Oryctolagus cuniculus: one gene and its partners. Each later gene encodes a partner of the first gene's protein in a complex. Links are inferred from orthologs where the notes say so. Each region holds a gene or a part of one and is shown in the gene's direction. Other genes may lie near its edges.

Region 1 (4,343 bases):
CAAAGGCCCACAGCTACTGGCGTGGGGCCAGGCTGAAACCAGGAGTAAGGTCTCCCACATGGGTGGCGGGGACCCAACTACTTGAGCCAGCTCCTGTCGCCTCCCAGGGTGCACTTCACCAGGAATCTGGAGCCAGGAGTGGGGCTGACACTCCAAACCACACGCTCCAGTGTGTCCTAACCACGAGGCCAAACACCTGCCGTTTCGCAGGTCCCTGGGAAAGTAAAGTATTCAAGCCCCAGCTGCCCTCCGCCTTCAGTCCGTCTGTCCATCCATCAAACCTCTCAATAAGCATCTGTGAAGGTTCTGGGAGGACCTAGAGTGAGTGCCTCACAGCCTCAGTGACCTCAGCCTCCGAAGCTCAGAGCAAACCCATCCACCAGTGGTCTGTGAAGAACATGCTGACGCAGCCATCCTGGATCCACCGCCCGCCATGCCGCCAGCCCAGGGCACCACAGCCAAGTGCTGTTCTGGAAGCCGGGAGCCAGCACAGTCAGGTTCTGGTGAGGGCTCTCTTCCTGGCTTGCAGATGGCAGAGAGGAAGCAAGTGAGCTCTCTGGGCTCTCATCAGGGCCCCAAGCCACCACTCTTACCAGACCACCCCCCAAAGGCCCGCCTCCAAACGCCATCCCACTGGGAGCTGGCACATCACACCACCCCACTGTCTGGGCCGCACTGTCTGCTGGAAGAGCTGAAACCAGGACAGAATCCGGTGCCCCAACCGGGACTAGAACCGGGGGTGCCGGCGCCGCAGGCGGAAGATTAGCCTAGTGAGCCGTGGCGCCGGCCTGCATTTAACTTTGTAAGTGAAAATACAGCCAGGAATCTTTATGACCTGCCTGGAAGAGGAGGCGGCGCTCAGAGCAGTTCCATAGAAACAGTGGTGCCGCTGAGTCCAGCTGTATTCTCCGGGCCTCTCTCTGTCTCTAAGGGCGGTTGTTCCAGCACACGTTCCCTAGCCCTGAACAGGGACAGGAACAGGAAGAGAAGTGAGGAGGTAGAGGTGTTCTCATAGTGAGGTCACAGTTGGCTGAGGAACATGCATGCAGATTCCCAGGCCTGGGCGGTGGGGCTGGGCTCCTGTGCGGGCTCAGGCACTGCGTGGGAGGGGGCTCCAGAGGCCCTGGGCAGAGGGCCCTGGGCTGTCCCTAGGCAAGACCCTGGGTCCCCTGACTCCCCGGGATGAGGACCCCATCTTGGCAGCTGGCTTGCCCAGTGTGAGACCAGGAAGCAGCAGGGCCTCCCCGGGGGCCCTGTGCTGGCTTAGCAGGACCTCTGCAGCCAGAGCAGGTGCATCACCCGACACGAGGTGGCCCATCCCTCGCCCCCGTCCACTCCAAGTCACTCTGTAAAGCCTCCTCCTGCCCCACCCTGGCTCCAAGAGGGGAAGAAAGCGCTGAAACCCGAGCAGACGCCGTCCTGGGCCCTGCTGGAGGCATTAATAGAAGCCTCGCTCAGGCCCCTGACGTGTCTGGCAGCTGCTCAGCCCCAGCCCGCGTCTCCCAGCCCCAAGGCCGGCCCACTCTGGCTCAGCCGGGCACACTAAACTTAGCTTCCACCCCCAGCTCCGGAGCCACGGCCACCACCCTAGCCGGGCCGCCACCTGCACGGGCAGGCGCCGCCGCCAGACCCTACCTGCAGCACCCACCCCTCTGCAGCCGCCATGTCCCCGACGGAAGCCCCAAAGGTCCGCGTGACCCTCTTCTGCATCCTGGTGGGCATCGTGCTGGCCATGACGGCCGTGGTGAGCGACCACTGGGCCGTGCTGAGCCCCCACATGGAGAACCACAACACCACCTGCGAGGCCGCCCACTTCGGCCTGTGGCGGATTTGCACCAAGCGCATCGCCCTGGGCGAGGACAGGAGCTGCGGACCCATCACCCTGCCTGGGGGTAACGTATCCATGCCCTGTCCCCTCTCTGCCTCCTGCCTGTCGCAGGTGCCCCGGAAGAGGTGCCCGTGGGAAAAAAGGCAGGTTTCTCTGCCTCGGGTCCAAGCAGCACCCCAGCCCTCCCTGCCCAGGGCAGACAGAGCTGCGCATGGCACGGCCATGTACGGAGGGCTTACGTTTCCAGCTATTAGAACATGGGGCCATGCGCCCAGAGCAGACAGCTGCACAGATGGGACAAGAGGCCCAGGACGAAGACGCAGGTCCACCAGACCAGGGCCTCTGGCTCAGCAGGGGTCACAGCCCATGTCCCCAGGCTGGGTGGCCGTGTGCCCCCAGCCCGGCAGGTTCATTGCTCAGTGCCCAGGCAAGGGTGCAAACAGGGCCAGCTCCAGGGTCTGCAGTGCCTCCTGCAGAATGAAAAGGCAGGGCTCCTAGTTTCCGGCGACAAAGCGTTTCAGGTAGGCGGCCGCAGGGTGTGGGGCGCTTCTGGGGTGGGTGTGACTGTGCAGGCTGCACCCCTGGAAAGTGGGATGTGGCAGCATGCAAGCCGGCTGCCTGCTCGTGGGAGCCCACAGACCTCCCGGAGGGGCCCCCTGAACTCAGCTCTCTCAGATTCCAAAGTGTCCCCTGTCCCACAGTGTCACCCAGCCACACGCTGCAGGTGAGCCCTCGGTCCAGGACGTGGGGCGTGAGCAAGACAGATCCCTGGGAAGAGTGTCGGTTCTGCACGTGTGGGGCCCACGGAGTTCCAGTGAGCAGAGCGTGTGCCAGGGCAGCGGGTGCTGTGCGGGGAGCGGAGGCCTGGGCCCCAGTCACGCGCTAGCCGCCTGCTCCCTAGAGGAGGCTTCTGGGCAGACAAAGCCCAGCTCAGCTCCTCCTGCTGCCTCTTCTATAAAACAGGAGACTTGGTCTCAGCCACACACGATCCCTCCCAGAGCTCACCAAGGTCCCTCCAAGGCGGCAGCCGGCCAGGCTGTGAGTGACACCGTCCCACCTGACATGCGTGTTCAGAAAGGGCGTCCTTTAAGGCGGGTGGCGCTGAGCCCCCAGAGGTCTTGCAGTCTGCCCAGCCCCTAGCCCCATGCCGCCCTTTCCTCCCCCTGCCACTTGCTCCAGGGATCCCCTGCCCCGCGTGCCCCCGGGGGGCGTGCAGAGGACTCGTAAATCCTCAGCTGTCTTGGAAACGCTGAGTCCAGGGCTGGGAGCTTTGACAGGCGTGGGCATGTGCTCATGGGCTATCGCATAGCGCAGATGCTCATGCCCTCGGCCACCGCTGAGCACGCCCGTAAACACACGCCTCCTCCAGCCAACTCCCTTGGGCAGGGCAGGGCGGGGCAGGGCGAGGCGGCTCCTCCAGGGACACTGTCATGGTCCTAGCTGCTGTCCTTGGAGCCATCTGCCTTTTAAAGTCAGAGCCGATGAGCAGGGCAGCGGGCAGAGTCCACACAAGGAAGAGACAGACTGGCCAGAGGTGACCAGGCCAGCCCCAGGGGACCGACACTTGGCCTTGAGCCTGAGCAGCGTCCATCTCTTTGGCCTCTCCACGCCGCCCCCGCCCCAGGCGTGAATCATGCACTTGCGGCACTCAGCACTGCCTTCCCTCCAATAATCCTCCCAAGCATGTCCCCCCGGCCTTTTTCCTCTTTTGCAAACAGATGTCTGCTTCCTTCCCAATGTACCTTTACCTTCCTTAATCTCCTCGGGACCACCGTTTTCTGGAGCGAGTTCATACATCTCTCATTTATTTGTTATTAACCAAAGCAACAACAAAGGCACGCAAACGTAGCACTGTGTGCATGTATTGTTGTGAATGCTTTTCCTAAATTCACTTGAAATGACGTCAGAAAAATAGGACAGAGTAAGGCATGCCTGCCCCCAAATCTTCCCCATAAAAGCCATGAGGATTCTGGCAAAAATTGACAGGACACTGGACATTAACCAAATCTCACAGAATTCCAGAAAAACAAGGGAAGCTCAGGAGGAACAGAGACTTGCCCATTCCCACGCACCCTCCCCAGGTCTGCCGTGGCTTCAACATCTCACAGTCATCACCAACATAGCAGCCCAACAGCCACTGAGGGGGACAAATGGCCAGCTTTCTTTTACGGCTCTGTTTTCAGAGCGGTCATTGTGCGACCTGTCCTGTGGCTCCCTGCAAGTCCCCACTTACAAATCGCCTCTATCTGACCTGGCTCTGAGCTCTCCAGTGCCACCAATCTTTCTCCCAGGGAGCATTTGTTGAAAACAACTGGAGCCAACTGTGTAACATCATGGCTTCTTGAGACAGCACAAAACAGTTGGTGCTAATAATGGGATAGCCCAAACGCTGGAGGATATGATGTCCGTTGGCAGCTTTGGAAAGTTCCAACATATTCCTGGGCACCTCGAAGGCCTTGTGCATGCACGGTGCTGCCAACAGGCTCAGGAGAGACCTGAGGTCCTAAGCTCTCAC
Region 2 (4,299 bases), on another chromosome or scaffold:
AAGAACAAGCACTGCATTCACGCTAACTTAATGCCTTACAGTAAAACACGGCATCAAAGGCAGCTGACGCCCATTGTAGCAATTCTGCATGTATAAGTCAGTATACAAAATGGTTAACATCTTTGTGGTTACAAAGTAACACGGCCGCCTGGCAAACTTGTTCTAGCGACTTCCACAGGAGTCAAATTTGTGGAAATGTGATGCACCCAAGAATATAAAAATGTGCTTTATGAGGACGAGGCGAGAGCATTATTCTAAGTCCAACAGTTTTGCTGTGGTCACTACGCGTTCTTCAAGAGTTCGGGACCTGAAGGGAGTGATGTCTTCGTCCACCACGTGATACCAAGATTTAGGATTTCCAATCCTATAGGAAAAGTCAAATTCGCGAGCGACCGAGCGCTAACTGACACAGATGAACACAATCAATCATTAAGGGTGTGGTCGCTCCAGCCCTGGTTAAAAAGTTCAACTGGGGGTTCTGGTGGGATCCCAGCTCATCCGTCCTCGCCGTCCGTCTGGCTCCTCGCTCCTGACATCGCCCAGCGCCCTCAGCCGCCCCCTGTACTGCAAAGACCCTAGCTCGCTGGGCCGCCCCAGGCCCCGACGGGTGGGACACCTCACAGGTCAGAGCCCAGCCCTCTCCGCTGAAGTTGGGGACCTGTTCGCGCCCGCCCCGCGTCTCTTGGAGCTCCGGGGCAGCCGGGGTGGAGCGACCGGAACCGAACGGGGCAGCCCGAGAGACGCACCTCCCGGGCGCCGGGCCTGGCTTTCGTGGCTTTGAGAACTTTCCAGCGTGCGTGCCACGGCGACGCGCAGCGGCCCGGCCGGGGCCCACGCGGCCCGCGCCTCCCGCGAGGAACTTTTCGGCGCGGCGGCTGGTTGTCACTCCCGCTCGCCGACGCGCCTCCCCCTGGCTCGCGCTCCGCCAGCTGCCTCCGCCCTCCCGGCGAGGACCTTCCCCGGCGCCCGCGGCTCGGGGCTGCCCGCTCTGCGCTCGCTCCGCCGGCCCCGGCGCGCCGCCCAGGGAGCCCCTCTCCTCCGGCCACCCAGCCGCGCGCCCGCGCCTCCCGCCTCGCGCCATGGCCCGGCCCCGTCCCGCGCACTGAGAGCGGGGCGGCGCGGCGCCGAGCCCCCGGGGCGCTAAGGGACGCTGCGCCGAGCGGCCGGGCCCGAGCCCCGGGCGGCCCCCGGAGCGCAGCGGAGTAGGGGCGGGGGCGAGGAGGAGGTGGGGACCGGCCGCCCAGGGGCCGGCTGCGTGCTTCCAGCCGACTTTTCGCCAATGGTCCAAAGCGACATGTCCAAGTCGCCTCCCACAGCGGCGGCGGCGGTGGCGCAGGAGGTGCAGATGGAACTGCTGGAGAACGCGGCTCCCGCGGGGGCGCTCGGAGCCGCCGCACAGGTAGCGAGAGCGCGGCGCCCTCTCCTTTCTTTGTGAGCCGCCGGGGCGCGGGCCGCCGTCTCCCCGGCGCCTCCTCTCCCTCGCTCGCCGGCCTCGCAGCTCGCTCGTGCCTGCGTCTCCTCCTCCGCCGCCTCCTCCTCCTCTTCTGCTCGCCGTTCGCCACCCACTTCTCTCCCGGCGCCGGGGACCCTGCCCCTTGGCGCTTCCCCCTGACTCTTCTCCGGCTTCCATTTTTCTCTGCTTCCGAAAAGCAAGTGGGAAGGGGCGGGGGCGACCTGCCGGGCTCGCAGCTTCTCCCGGGCGGCTCTGCTCAGCTCTCGTCGCTCCTGCCCGGGAGAGGCACATGGAGAGACATGAACCAGGCGAGTGGACTGGACCTGCTCAAGATCGTGAGTCCGGGCGGGCGGGCGGGTGGGGGCTCCGCTTCCCGCAGCTCTTCCTCCGACGCCGACCCTTCCGGCCCGGCTTGGAGCCGGGCTGGGGTGGGGGTGGGGTGGTGATGGCTAGGGGTGGGGGAGGGGGACGCCCTGCTGCGCCCCGCGTCCTGGGGGCAGCCGGGACCACCCTCCGCACCTGGGGCGTTGCGCCTTTCTGACCGCTCTCTGATGCCCTCGAGGCACTTGCCAAGGTTCGCCTGCATCCCTCGCTCCTTTCCCTTCCCGAGAGAGCGAGCTGACACGAGAAAGTTTTTATTTTTCCGTTTGCCCTGAAAGACTAGCCCTTTCAGAGCGCTCCGGGATCCTCTTTCTCGCCGGCGAGTGTTCGCGGTTTCTGGAAAAATTCACCTTTGCTGCCTGTTGTGAAATAGGAGATGTTAGTTGTAGGCCTCGGGCAGATGATAAGGTGGCGTTGACGTAAGGCGTTGGCAGGTGCGGCGCGGATTAGACACCTCCGGGTCTCCGCGGTAAGGAGTTGCTCAACTTGTATCCTGGCGGGGAAATGACTTCAGCCTCCTCGCTGCGGGCTAGGAAGGAGGGGAGGGTTCCGCTCCTAGCATCACTGGAGAGAACTCTGTCTTCTTTGCTTCGTGGTGTGGGCTTGATTTGGAGCCTACATCTGCCAGATGACAGGCCGTGGTAAGATGTGAAGTGTGTGTGTGTTTTATTCGAGTGTGTGTGTGTGTGTATGCATGCCAGAGAGAGCATGCTACAGTTTTCACTTGGTAGTGCTGAGCAGGGCAGGGACAGTCCCCCGAGGGTGGCAGGGTTTCTCCTGCTTCGTGCAGAGGGGCTGGTTGTAGGGGTTTGAGTACTATGCTAGTGGTACTTCCAGGGGCGTTCTAGTGGAGTTTGGCTGAACTTTATTTTACCGCTGGGAAATAAACGCGCTAACTTAAAACACAGCGTTGACTTTGTTTTTTGAGCTGGGGGAAGAACGTAGAAACCAAGAACTCTTTCTCTGGCCGTGGTGAAACCGGCCCTCGGTTGTTTGCCCTCCAGTGGATCGGAGACAGGGCACTCACCAGTGACTGGTTTTATACATAGAGCAGAGAGAGGAGAATGGCGTGGATTTTATAAAGTGGATGAGGCAGAAATAGTCAGCTGAATCAACATCTATCTCCTTGCTTTCTCTGCTTTCCAAAAATGAAAGCAGTTTTCCCTGAATTGTTCAGATAAAATGCCTCCCTCCCAGTCATGGATGTCAACTCCCAGCGTTTCAGGGTTGTGTGAAACTTGGCAGGTAGCCTCTGCCGGAGGATGGACTCCTGACCAACACAATTCACTCTTGTTCCAACTCCAATTTCATCCAGACACATGTCAGGTTCCATGAGATTGAAAAATGTATTAGAGACCTTGGTGGTTCCAGGATCAAAGTCTAGAGTATTCATAGACGAAAGGACTTTTAAAGCCTCGTTTTCTCTTTGATCTTACTTGAAGAATTTTTTTTTTTTGAAAAGTATGTATTCCTATGATAAAGAGTTCTTGAATTCTCTGATCAGTTAGGGCTGATGCAAAGGGTAAGAAATACTAATTTACTTAGTGATTTACATAATTAACATAAGTCAACAAATACTGTGCCCATGTGATGGTGCAATGTGGAAATGACTTTGATGTGAGAAGGCAGTTTATTCCTTTGAAGAACTTAGATTCCAAAGCTGCAAGTATGAAGCCGGTAAAGCAATTCTAAGGTATTGGATGGGACTAGGAGGGAAGGGCTGAATATCATGATTGCAAAGGAGTCAAGGTCACAAAAAACACTCTTTAGAGCAATCTGCCAGGGCTTCTTAGAGGTGGCACTTGAAGAGATTGAATGGTGGGTCAGATTTCAACAGTTTGGAGAGAGATGCTAGGAAGCCATACATGGAACAGACACAGAAGTTGGAATTGTGCAGTTAGAATCCCTGGCTCAGAAGAGTGGGAGAAAAGGTACATGCTGGGTTGTAGTTGGACATCAGGAGGGCAAAGCACTTGGACGTTGAAGTGTACTGAACAACTGGGAACTGAAGGTGTTCCAAACAGGAGCCACCACTAGCACAGGGACAACACCCACCTGGGAATGTTCAAGACAGATGGGAGTCTGTGGAGGTCAGAAGTGGAGCTGTCAGCAAGGACAGGAGTACAACAGTTTGGCAAGAACAGGTCCGTGCCCCAGGCATCTTAAATCAGCCCGTAGGATGGAGTGACTGGTTTTACACATACAGCAGAGAGAGAGAGAGAGGAGAATGGCATGGGATTCGTGAAGCAGGTAAGGGAGAAATGTTCAACTGTATGGACATCTATCTCGTTGCTTTCTCTGCTTTCTAAAAATGAAAGCAGTTTTCCTTGAGTTGTGTTCAGATGACATCCGTGATTGGAGGAAGCATTCTAACTTCTAGTGTCTCAGGGTTGTGTGGAACTTGGCAAGACCATCTACTGTCTCTGAGTAGACCAGGGCAGCCATAATATCTCCTGAGAAGGGGG
Region 3 (4,011 bases), on another chromosome or scaffold:
CTGTCCACCACTTCCAGCTCCGATTCCCTAGCAGAGTCCTACACGCTAACACGGATGCTCTTGTAGGACGTGCACATTGGACCACTTCAGAATTCTGCATCCGTGTGAACCTGTGTGCTGGCGGCTTTAACCTCAGCTACAATACCAGGAGCCTGCTCTGCTTTTCGGTGTTTGTGTGGTGTCTTTTTATTTTTGAAATATTTTTTTTGGTTACAGTGCAAACTTTCTTCCTTGGAGACCGAGTTTTCCAAAAGCATCAGAAGAGAAAGGTGGTAGCAAGGAGGAAAAAACCCACAGCACAGCTAAGAAACTGGAGGCCCCAAGGCAGGGAGGAGCCCAGCCAGTGGTGTCTCATCAGCAGAGTGTGTTAGTAGAAACAGTTTGGGTGGCATTTTTTTGAGGTGACACATTTGTGGCATTTACCCTAAGGTTCTCCTAAGGCGAGGATGACAAGGAAATTGCTGGCACAAATGGGAGAGCAGTCTCTCCATGTCGCTGCCGTGAGGTGACTCCATGGCAGTCAGGGAGGAAGCACCCACAATTTCCAGCCCTCGAACGGCCAAGCAGGGCCGAGAGGCTGCATTTGAGCAAGTATTTAAGACACTGTGGAGAGTGCTTTAGGACCCAACCATTTATCTCACAGATAGCATGGTTTTAGAATTAAAATGGGACCATTTTGAAATAACTGCTCTTATCCCAGTTGACGGTCCCTTTGAAAAAGTTTAAATTGTCAAGGAATGAAGCACATTTACCAGCAGTCCTGGCTCCTGAAAGGGGGCAACAAGATACAATGCAAAACTGAGCCTCATTTTTTCCCTCCCTAAAATAGTTTTGCAACTTGAGCTGCATTCCGCTGGGAAAGGGGCAGTGAATTCCATCAAAGTGCACCTTCCAGCTGCAGTTTTCGGCCCCTTGGGCCCAGGGGCTACCAGCCCCCGGTCAAGCCTATCGCCCTTGCACACAAGAGGGCATATCAGAGCAGCTCGTGGTGATATATAAAACCCAGAGCTCAGCATGCCGTAGGGAGGTGATGAGCTGACAGGCTGACAGGAACCACTACCTTCTCCTTTCAATCCAAGTTTTCCTGTAGAGTCACCAGGGGAGAGGCCTATCCCTGCACAGGCTTAGCAGGGAAGAGAAAGACAAGGCAGAGAAGAGCCAATAAGGAAAGTGTGGTTTTAGAATTCTAAAACGTAAAGTATTACTAAAACCTCAATTTGCAGCAATGCCATATGGCCATGTAAACTTTTGTGGCACTGAAATGACATTACAGGAATAGTTTCTTAGTCTTAAAAAGTTACAAGGAGAAAAGATCACCTGCAGGGTACTTGTTTAGCTTTAAAAATCACCCTGTTTTGTATACAACTGGAAACTGACAATGCTTCGAGCCCTTGTTCAGCCAGCTACGCCCGCATACCAGCCGCTGCCTAGCCACCTGTCTGCTGAAACGGAGAGTACATGTAAAGGTACTGTGGTGCATGAAGCTCAACTCAACCATTTCTACATCTCTCCTGGAGGTAAGATCCCCACCGTGGAGTAAGGAACAGGGAAGAGGAGGGTGAAATTTACTCAAAGTATTCTAGAAATACCAAGAAGGTGATTCCCCCACTCCAAGGACTCATCTCCTTGTACGTAAGCAGGACTTTCAGCAACACATTTGTGAAGTTTTGCCTAGAAGCCCAATGTCCTCATTTATGTCATTGTTTGGAAATTCTCGAAAAAAAAAAAAAAACAACTCTCAAATAAAAAATAAATTTAAAAACATTTAAACCATTTTTGAAGCAACAAGCAAGGATTATATGGCTTTTATATGGCAAAACACCAATCTTCTACTTTCCTTCTCATTCTGTGAGAAAGATGAAAGAAATCCAAATTTTTATATTAGATTTTGTATCTGAATTTTGTTGGTACACACAGACAAGATAGCAAGATAATTATATTCGATAATGATCTTTTCTAATTTTTTAAGTTCTTCAGTGGAAAAAATAGAAAGCTGGTCAATTTTAAGAGGTGGGTAAAGGGTCATTAGAGACAGTATCAGGTGTCATTAAAATTTTGATTTGAAATTGTTTCTTAGCATAGCACTTTAATTAAGTTTGGATGTTTTGGGGGGATTAATCATGTCTTATGTTTCTAATAAATTTATTTTTTATTTATGTTTCTAATAAATCTATTCAATTTGTTCAAGTCATTTATCATTTGTTCTGTATTTTATCCCAGTTACTTTTCAACTCTAATTCTTGAATGATAGCTTGTAGCCATTTAACAAGCATCTGTCTATGCTAATATTTATGCAAATTTGAAAAGATGGCATATATCCATAGTTTATAAGTGTATCAAAATCATAATTATATGAGTAAAATTTAAATGGGCCAGATATCTGATTTGGTGATGCTCTATTTTTTAAAATATGTAATTAATTCCTCAGCAGGGCAGAAATGTGTTTTTCTTAGCATCCATCAGGGAAAGTGGATAAGTTCTCTTTCCTAGGAAAACCACGGGAAACATGGCAGTGTTAAACTACACACATCTCTTCTGGGCATTTCAGGATAATCCAAATTTTACCAATTCCTTTCCTAATGTTTATCTCACAGCAGTAGAGTGACGATCTCAACGTAAGGATGGAGCGACTAGTCATACATTTAGCGTGAATACTTGTAAGGGGGCCAAACTCAGGAGTAATATTTGATTTCCTGTACTTTTTGTCTAGTTCAGGCTTTTGGAATGGTGACCACATTGATGTACACACAGCTACTGTACTCAGAAAGACTACCTAACACCTGCAAATTAGAAAGAGGGGCCCATGAGTGCACAGCTTCGTAAGCTTTGATCAATGAGGAGTCTACTCAACAAGGCTGACTTGGGGAGCGGAACTCATTTCTGCTGGTTCACTCTCTTCTCTGAAACAGACCCCTCCCTCAGACTTACAAATGAAATCCATGAAGCTTTCAAAAACTTTACAGATTTGACTGATTTCTAGACACGCTGAAAAAGATTGCAATTAGTCTTTTTTTCACACGGGGGCTCAGAAAGCAGGAAGGATGGAAGCAAGAGAGAGGACGAGGAGGTGGGACAAAGGCTAGCACGGGCAGTCCTCTGCAGCGCACATGCTGGAGCAGCTACTGTGCGGCGCCCGTAGATGGGGGAGCAGCAACTTCTGGCCAGCTCTCCGCTGACTGTGTGCTTTGCCCCATTTGGAATGTTTGCACGAAAAATGCTTGCCTTTGGCGTGCTTCTCAATGCTTTTAAAGTCATGTTCTTTCATTCAATCCACTGCCTTAGCTTTGCTGACCAAACACGGACACGTCTTGTAAAACGAAATCGCCACTGGCCACAGAGTCTACATAGCAGTGTTATCTTTGGCCCCTGGTCTGGTTCTTTTCATATGACATAGTTTTACTGCACCTCACAAATCAGTGATCCCATGGTCTGGGAACACTGCAAGGTTCTCAGTAGATGAGGAGCAGTTTCTATTTGATGGGTGACTAACACTTACAAACGTTTGGGGGAAAACAGTAGAAAATCTAAACAGTAAAAACTACCCTAATTTTTCTAGAATTGATCCTTAAAAAGTTAACGCAAAGAGAAACCTCTTAACTATGGCAGTATACCAATTTGTATTAAATTAACACATACTGTCCATCTGTTAATGAGACTTCATTAGCTTCAAAGTAAAAGATGGACTTAAACTTTAGCAAGTACTCATTCATGACACATGCATGCTATGTCAACAGACCTCCCTAATCCCCACAGCAACCACTGTCCTCTTCAACTGGGAATCCCCACTTCACCAAAGGTCAGGTGGAATCTTCTTCATTGTACACTAACTTCCTGATTTTATTTGTTTCAGAGAAAAGCACCTTTGTTCTAGAGAAGGAGATAGAACACAGTAAATAAACTTTAAAAAAAATTAGGAAGCATAAAAATCCATAGATAATAATAAATATAAATAAGAACAACACACTCTGGGTTTTTTTTGCTATTGAAATTTATACTTTCATTTTGGTCATA
Region 4 (3,559 bases), about 10 Mb from region 1:
GGGCCCTCCCCCACACCGAGAGGACAGAATGCCAGTTTTGCTTCCTTTTGTGCTGTAAAAATTCACCTTTGTACGGAAAAACGCACAGCCCACTCAGCGTGCACTTTGCCGAGGCAGACCGCTGCGTGATCCCATTCCCGCGTGGTTTAACCCCTGGTTCCATTCTTCCCCGCATGCCTCCTCCAGACCAAGCCAGTAGCATTTGCCGTGCGGACAAATGTCGGCTACAATCCATCTCCAGGGGATGAGGTGCCTGTGGAGGGAGTGGCCATCACCTTTGAGCCCAAGGACTTCCTGCACATCAAGGAGGTGGGGAGGTCACTGGCATCAGGAGGGCGGATGGGTAGGGGGCAGCTAGAGCTCCAGGGGGAAGGGCCTCTCAGCCAAGCAGAGCAGGGCAGAGTCTGCTGTGTGACTTTTGATAAATAAATCTCTCACCTCTCTGAGCCTCTAAGTTTTCCTTGGTAAATGAGGTGGTAACACCTAGGGGCTGCGCTAAGGGAGAGGCAGTCCATGGCCAGAGAGGATGCTGGTCCCGGAATCATCCTGAGAATGGGCGGCCACACTTGGAAACTGGGGTGGGCACGTCTGGGGTGGCTTCCCTGGGAGGGGGGCTGCTGCCTGCACCTCCAGTTTCTGTTTGCTCTCTCCTGCCCGCCCACTGTGCTGCCTGCAGAAATACAACAATGACTGGTGGATTGGGCGGCTGGTGAAGGAGGGCTGCGAGGTTGGCTTCATCCCCAGCCCCGTCAAACTGGACAGCCTGCGCCTGCTGCAGGAACAGAAGCTGCGTCAGAGCCGCCTCAGCTCCAGGTGCCTGGTGGGCGTGGGCGCGCCTGGCCCCAGCAGGGCCCAGCCTGCCAGGGCTAGGCCCGAAGGGATGGGCTGCCCCCGCCCCTGAGGGCACAGAGCGCCCCTCCCCCCAGCAGTATGTGGGAGGCCGAGCTCCCCCCAACCCCCATGCCCACCCCTTCGCTCACGGGCTCCGTTTGCCTCTGCCCACACAGCAAATCAGGCGACAACTCCAGCTCCAGTCTGGGTGACGTAGTGACTGGCACGCGCCGCCCCACACCCCCTGCCAGTGGTAAGAGCTGCTGCGACCCCAGGGGGTGAGGAGGGGTTCCTGGATGGGTTGGTCTTCCCACCGCCTGACCCCCCTCTCCCTGCAGTAGGAGTCAGCCCTACCCTAGTTCCCCAGACACGTGTAGTGGCACCCCCTCCGTGAAGAGTGGGCTCCCCACAAGCTGGGCCTGTGTGTCTCTGCTCCCCCCTGTCTTTGGTAGCTCCATCTCTGCCTGCCCTCCCTGCACCCCACCCCCCATCCATTTCCCCCAGCCCCACTCCATTCACCTCTTCTTCTTTCTTCTCCCCATCCCCATCCCTGCGTTCTGTGTCTCCACGTCCACCTCCCTCCTCCCCACCTCGCCTCCCTCCCCCCTCTCTCCTGACTCGCCGGTCCAGGTAACGAGATGACTAACTTAGCCTTTGAACTAGAGCCCTTAGACTTAGAGGAGGACGAGGCAGAGCTCGGTGAGCAGAGCGGCTCTGCCAAGACTAGCGTTAGCAGTGTCACCACCCCGCCACCCCACGGCACACGCATCCCCTTCTTTAAGAAGGTAATTCTCGCTGCTGAGTTCTTGCAAGACGGGAGGGGGTCAGGGCCCAGCTCTGGGGGGCAGAGGTGGGTGGAAGGGGTTCCGATGTGGCACAGCCTCGTCCAGGGCCTCCCGCCGAGGCAGAGGGAGGGGTAGACGGGCACGTCCACGTGCACACACAGCCCTCCCTGGGCTACTCCCCAGGAAGGGATGGCTCCTGCCCTTGGCGAACTGCCCCACCCTGGAAAGCAGGGTCTGGTGGTAGTGACACCTGCCCTTGCCCTCACTCCCAGTGGAGCCTCCCTGTGTGTGCCCTACCCTGGCATTCTTTATTCGTCCTGTTCTGACCCCATGAGTGGGCACATAGGGGAGGGTGTCTGTTGGCTGCAGGGCAAGACAACTAAGGCAGCCCTTAAATAAGCAGGTTGGCATACCCTTGGGGCAGGAGGTGGGTACCAATTTAGGGGCTGCCGCCCTCACCAGGTCTTGTCCAAGACCCAGAGGGGTTAGGGTGTGTCTGAATGTTCCCAAGGCCGCCGGACTGGCAGTCCTGCTCCCAGCCCTGGTCCAGCGCCATCTCTGGCTCCCGCGTGGCATGGGGTCCCGTCCCCTCTCTCTGGCTCCGTCTGTCACTAACACGCATGCCCTGTTATCTCTCCTCGTCTGCCCGCTCTCTTGTCCCGGCTCCTTCTTGCCCTCTGCCCCTGCCTGGGTCCCCTCCCCCTCCCCTCTCTTGGCAATCTCTGGACCCAGCCAAACAGAAGCAGAAGTCGGTGAGTATCACAGCTCTCTGTGTCCCCTCCTTGCCCCCAGGATGAGCCGGGGGGGGAACCTTCTAACACCCGTTCCCACATCTGCCATTTCCCTACTCTTCCTGGTTCTCCCTGGCCCCCCCTCCCGCCTGACCCCTACATCTGGGCTTTGGGGCCAGAAGGAGGAAAGGATGCATGGGGGAGCCTGGAGTTGGGGGGAGAGGGGCTAACACCGTCTCCACCCTGGGGTCTCCCCACCCTGCTTTCCCCAGACAGAGCACGTGCCCCCCTATGACGTGGTGCCTTCCATGAGGCCCATCATCCTGGTGGGACCGTCGCTCAAGGGCTATGAGGTAGGAGCCCCTGGAGCGGGGGTGGGCCCGCTGGAGCCCAGACCTCCAGAGAGCCTCCCTGGAAAGGTCTTCAGACCTCAGAGAGACCCCCCCCCCACCTCAAGCATCCCCCAGGGGGACTGCAGACCTTATAGGGAGACCCTCAAGGGGCCTATCTCGTGGAGGACCCCCTCAGAGAAGCCCAAGTCCCCAAGCGATACCCAGAAGAGCCCTCCCAGACAGGCCACCTGGAAGGCCTCGGGAGCCAGAGTGTGTCTTGGTGGCCCCTCAGACCCAGGAGGGAACCCACCCCGCCCCTGGAGAGGCCCCTTTCTCTGCGGGGTTTCAGAGGGAAGTGGAATGTGGGGTGCAGACACCCCTCCGCCGCGCTGGCTCCTGAGTGGCTCTGAGTGCCTGACTTCCCCCTGACGCCCCGCCCCCCCAGGTGACAGACATGATGCAGAAAGCTTTGTTTGACTTCCTGAAGCATCGGTTTGATGGCAGGTGAGACCCTGGGGGCTGGCGCCCGGGGAGCCTGGGACTGAGGGAGCCTGGGGAGTGTGCGGGGCGTGCTGGCCGCCCTGAGCCCGACTGCCCCTCGCGCCGCCGCCAGGATCTCCATCACGCGGGTGACAGCCGACATCTCCCTGGCTAAGCGCTCAGTCCTCAACAACCCCAGCAAGCACATCATCATCGAGCGCTCCAACACACGCTCCAGCCTGGGTGAGCCCGCACCGCCTGCCGCGGGAGGCGTGGCCAGGGTGGGCGGGACCAGCTCCCGCAGCGCCCCCGCCGCTCCCTGCCTCCTGGGAGGAGGCGCCCTTACATTCTCCCCTCCCCGTGTCCCCCCCACCGCCCCGCCCAGCTGAGGTGCAGAGTG

What was found.
Region 2: CACNG1 (region 1) and CACNB2 share a complex: the UniProt entries of both Homo sapiens proteins name them as parts of the calcium channel complex. The link is inferred for Oryctolagus cuniculus from reciprocal best matches to the Homo sapiens genes CACNG1 and CACNB2.
Region 3: CACNG1 (region 1) and CACNA1C share a complex: the UniProt entries of both Homo sapiens proteins name them as parts of the calcium channel complex. The link is inferred for Oryctolagus cuniculus from reciprocal best matches to the Homo sapiens genes CACNG1 and CACNA1C.
Region 4: CACNG1 (region 1) and CACNB1 share a complex: the UniProt entries of both Homo sapiens proteins name them as parts of the calcium channel complex. The link is inferred for Oryctolagus cuniculus from reciprocal best matches to the Homo sapiens genes CACNG1 and CACNB1.

The regions. Positions count from the first base shown.
Region 1 is NC_091448.1:13,143,906-13,148,248, forward strand, and holds the start of CACNG1 (voltage-dependent calcium channel gamma-1 subunit), read left to right. Parts: upstream 1-1,522; 5' UTR 1,523-1,663; coding exon 1,664-1,892; intron 1,893-4,343. UniProt on the Homo sapiens protein: Regulatory subunit of the voltage-gated calcium channel that gives rise to L-type calcium currents in skeletal muscle. Regulates channel inactivation kinetics.
Region 2 is NC_091444.1:44,290,141-44,294,439, forward strand, and holds the start of CACNB2 (voltage-dependent L-type calcium channel subunit beta-2), read left to right. Parts: upstream 1-1,487; 5' UTR 1,488-1,752; coding exon 1,753-1,788; intron 1,789-4,299. UniProt on the Homo sapiens protein: Beta subunit of voltage-dependent calcium channels which contributes to the function of the calcium channel by increasing peak calcium current. Plays a role in shifting voltage dependencies of activation and inactivation of the channel.
Region 3 is NC_091440.1:99,765,075-99,769,085, forward strand, and holds the start of CACNA1C (voltage-dependent L-type calcium channel subunit alpha-1C), read left to right. Parts: upstream 1-1,187; 5' UTR 1,188-1,378; coding exon 1,379-1,517; intron 1,518-4,011. UniProt on the Homo sapiens protein: Pore-forming, alpha-1C subunit of the voltage-gated calcium channel that gives rise to L-type calcium currents. Mediates influx of calcium ions into the cytoplasm, and thereby triggers calcium release from the sarcoplasm.
Region 4 is NC_091448.1:23,122,559-23,126,117, forward strand, and holds part of CACNB1 (voltage-dependent L-type calcium channel subunit beta-1), read left to right. Parts: intron 1-186; coding exon 187-309; intron 310-676; coding exon 677-813; intron 814-1,007; coding exon 1,008-1,084; intron 1,085-1,461; coding exon 1,462-1,616; intron 1,617-2,348; coding exon of another isoform or gene 2,349-2,368; intron 2,369-2,619; coding exon 2,620-2,700; intron 2,701-3,124; coding exon 3,125-3,183; intron 3,184-3,292; coding exon 3,293-3,402; intron 3,403-3,544; coding exon 3,545-3,559. UniProt on the Homo sapiens protein: Regulatory subunit of L-type calcium channels. Regulates the activity of L-type calcium channels that contain CACNA1A as pore-forming subunit.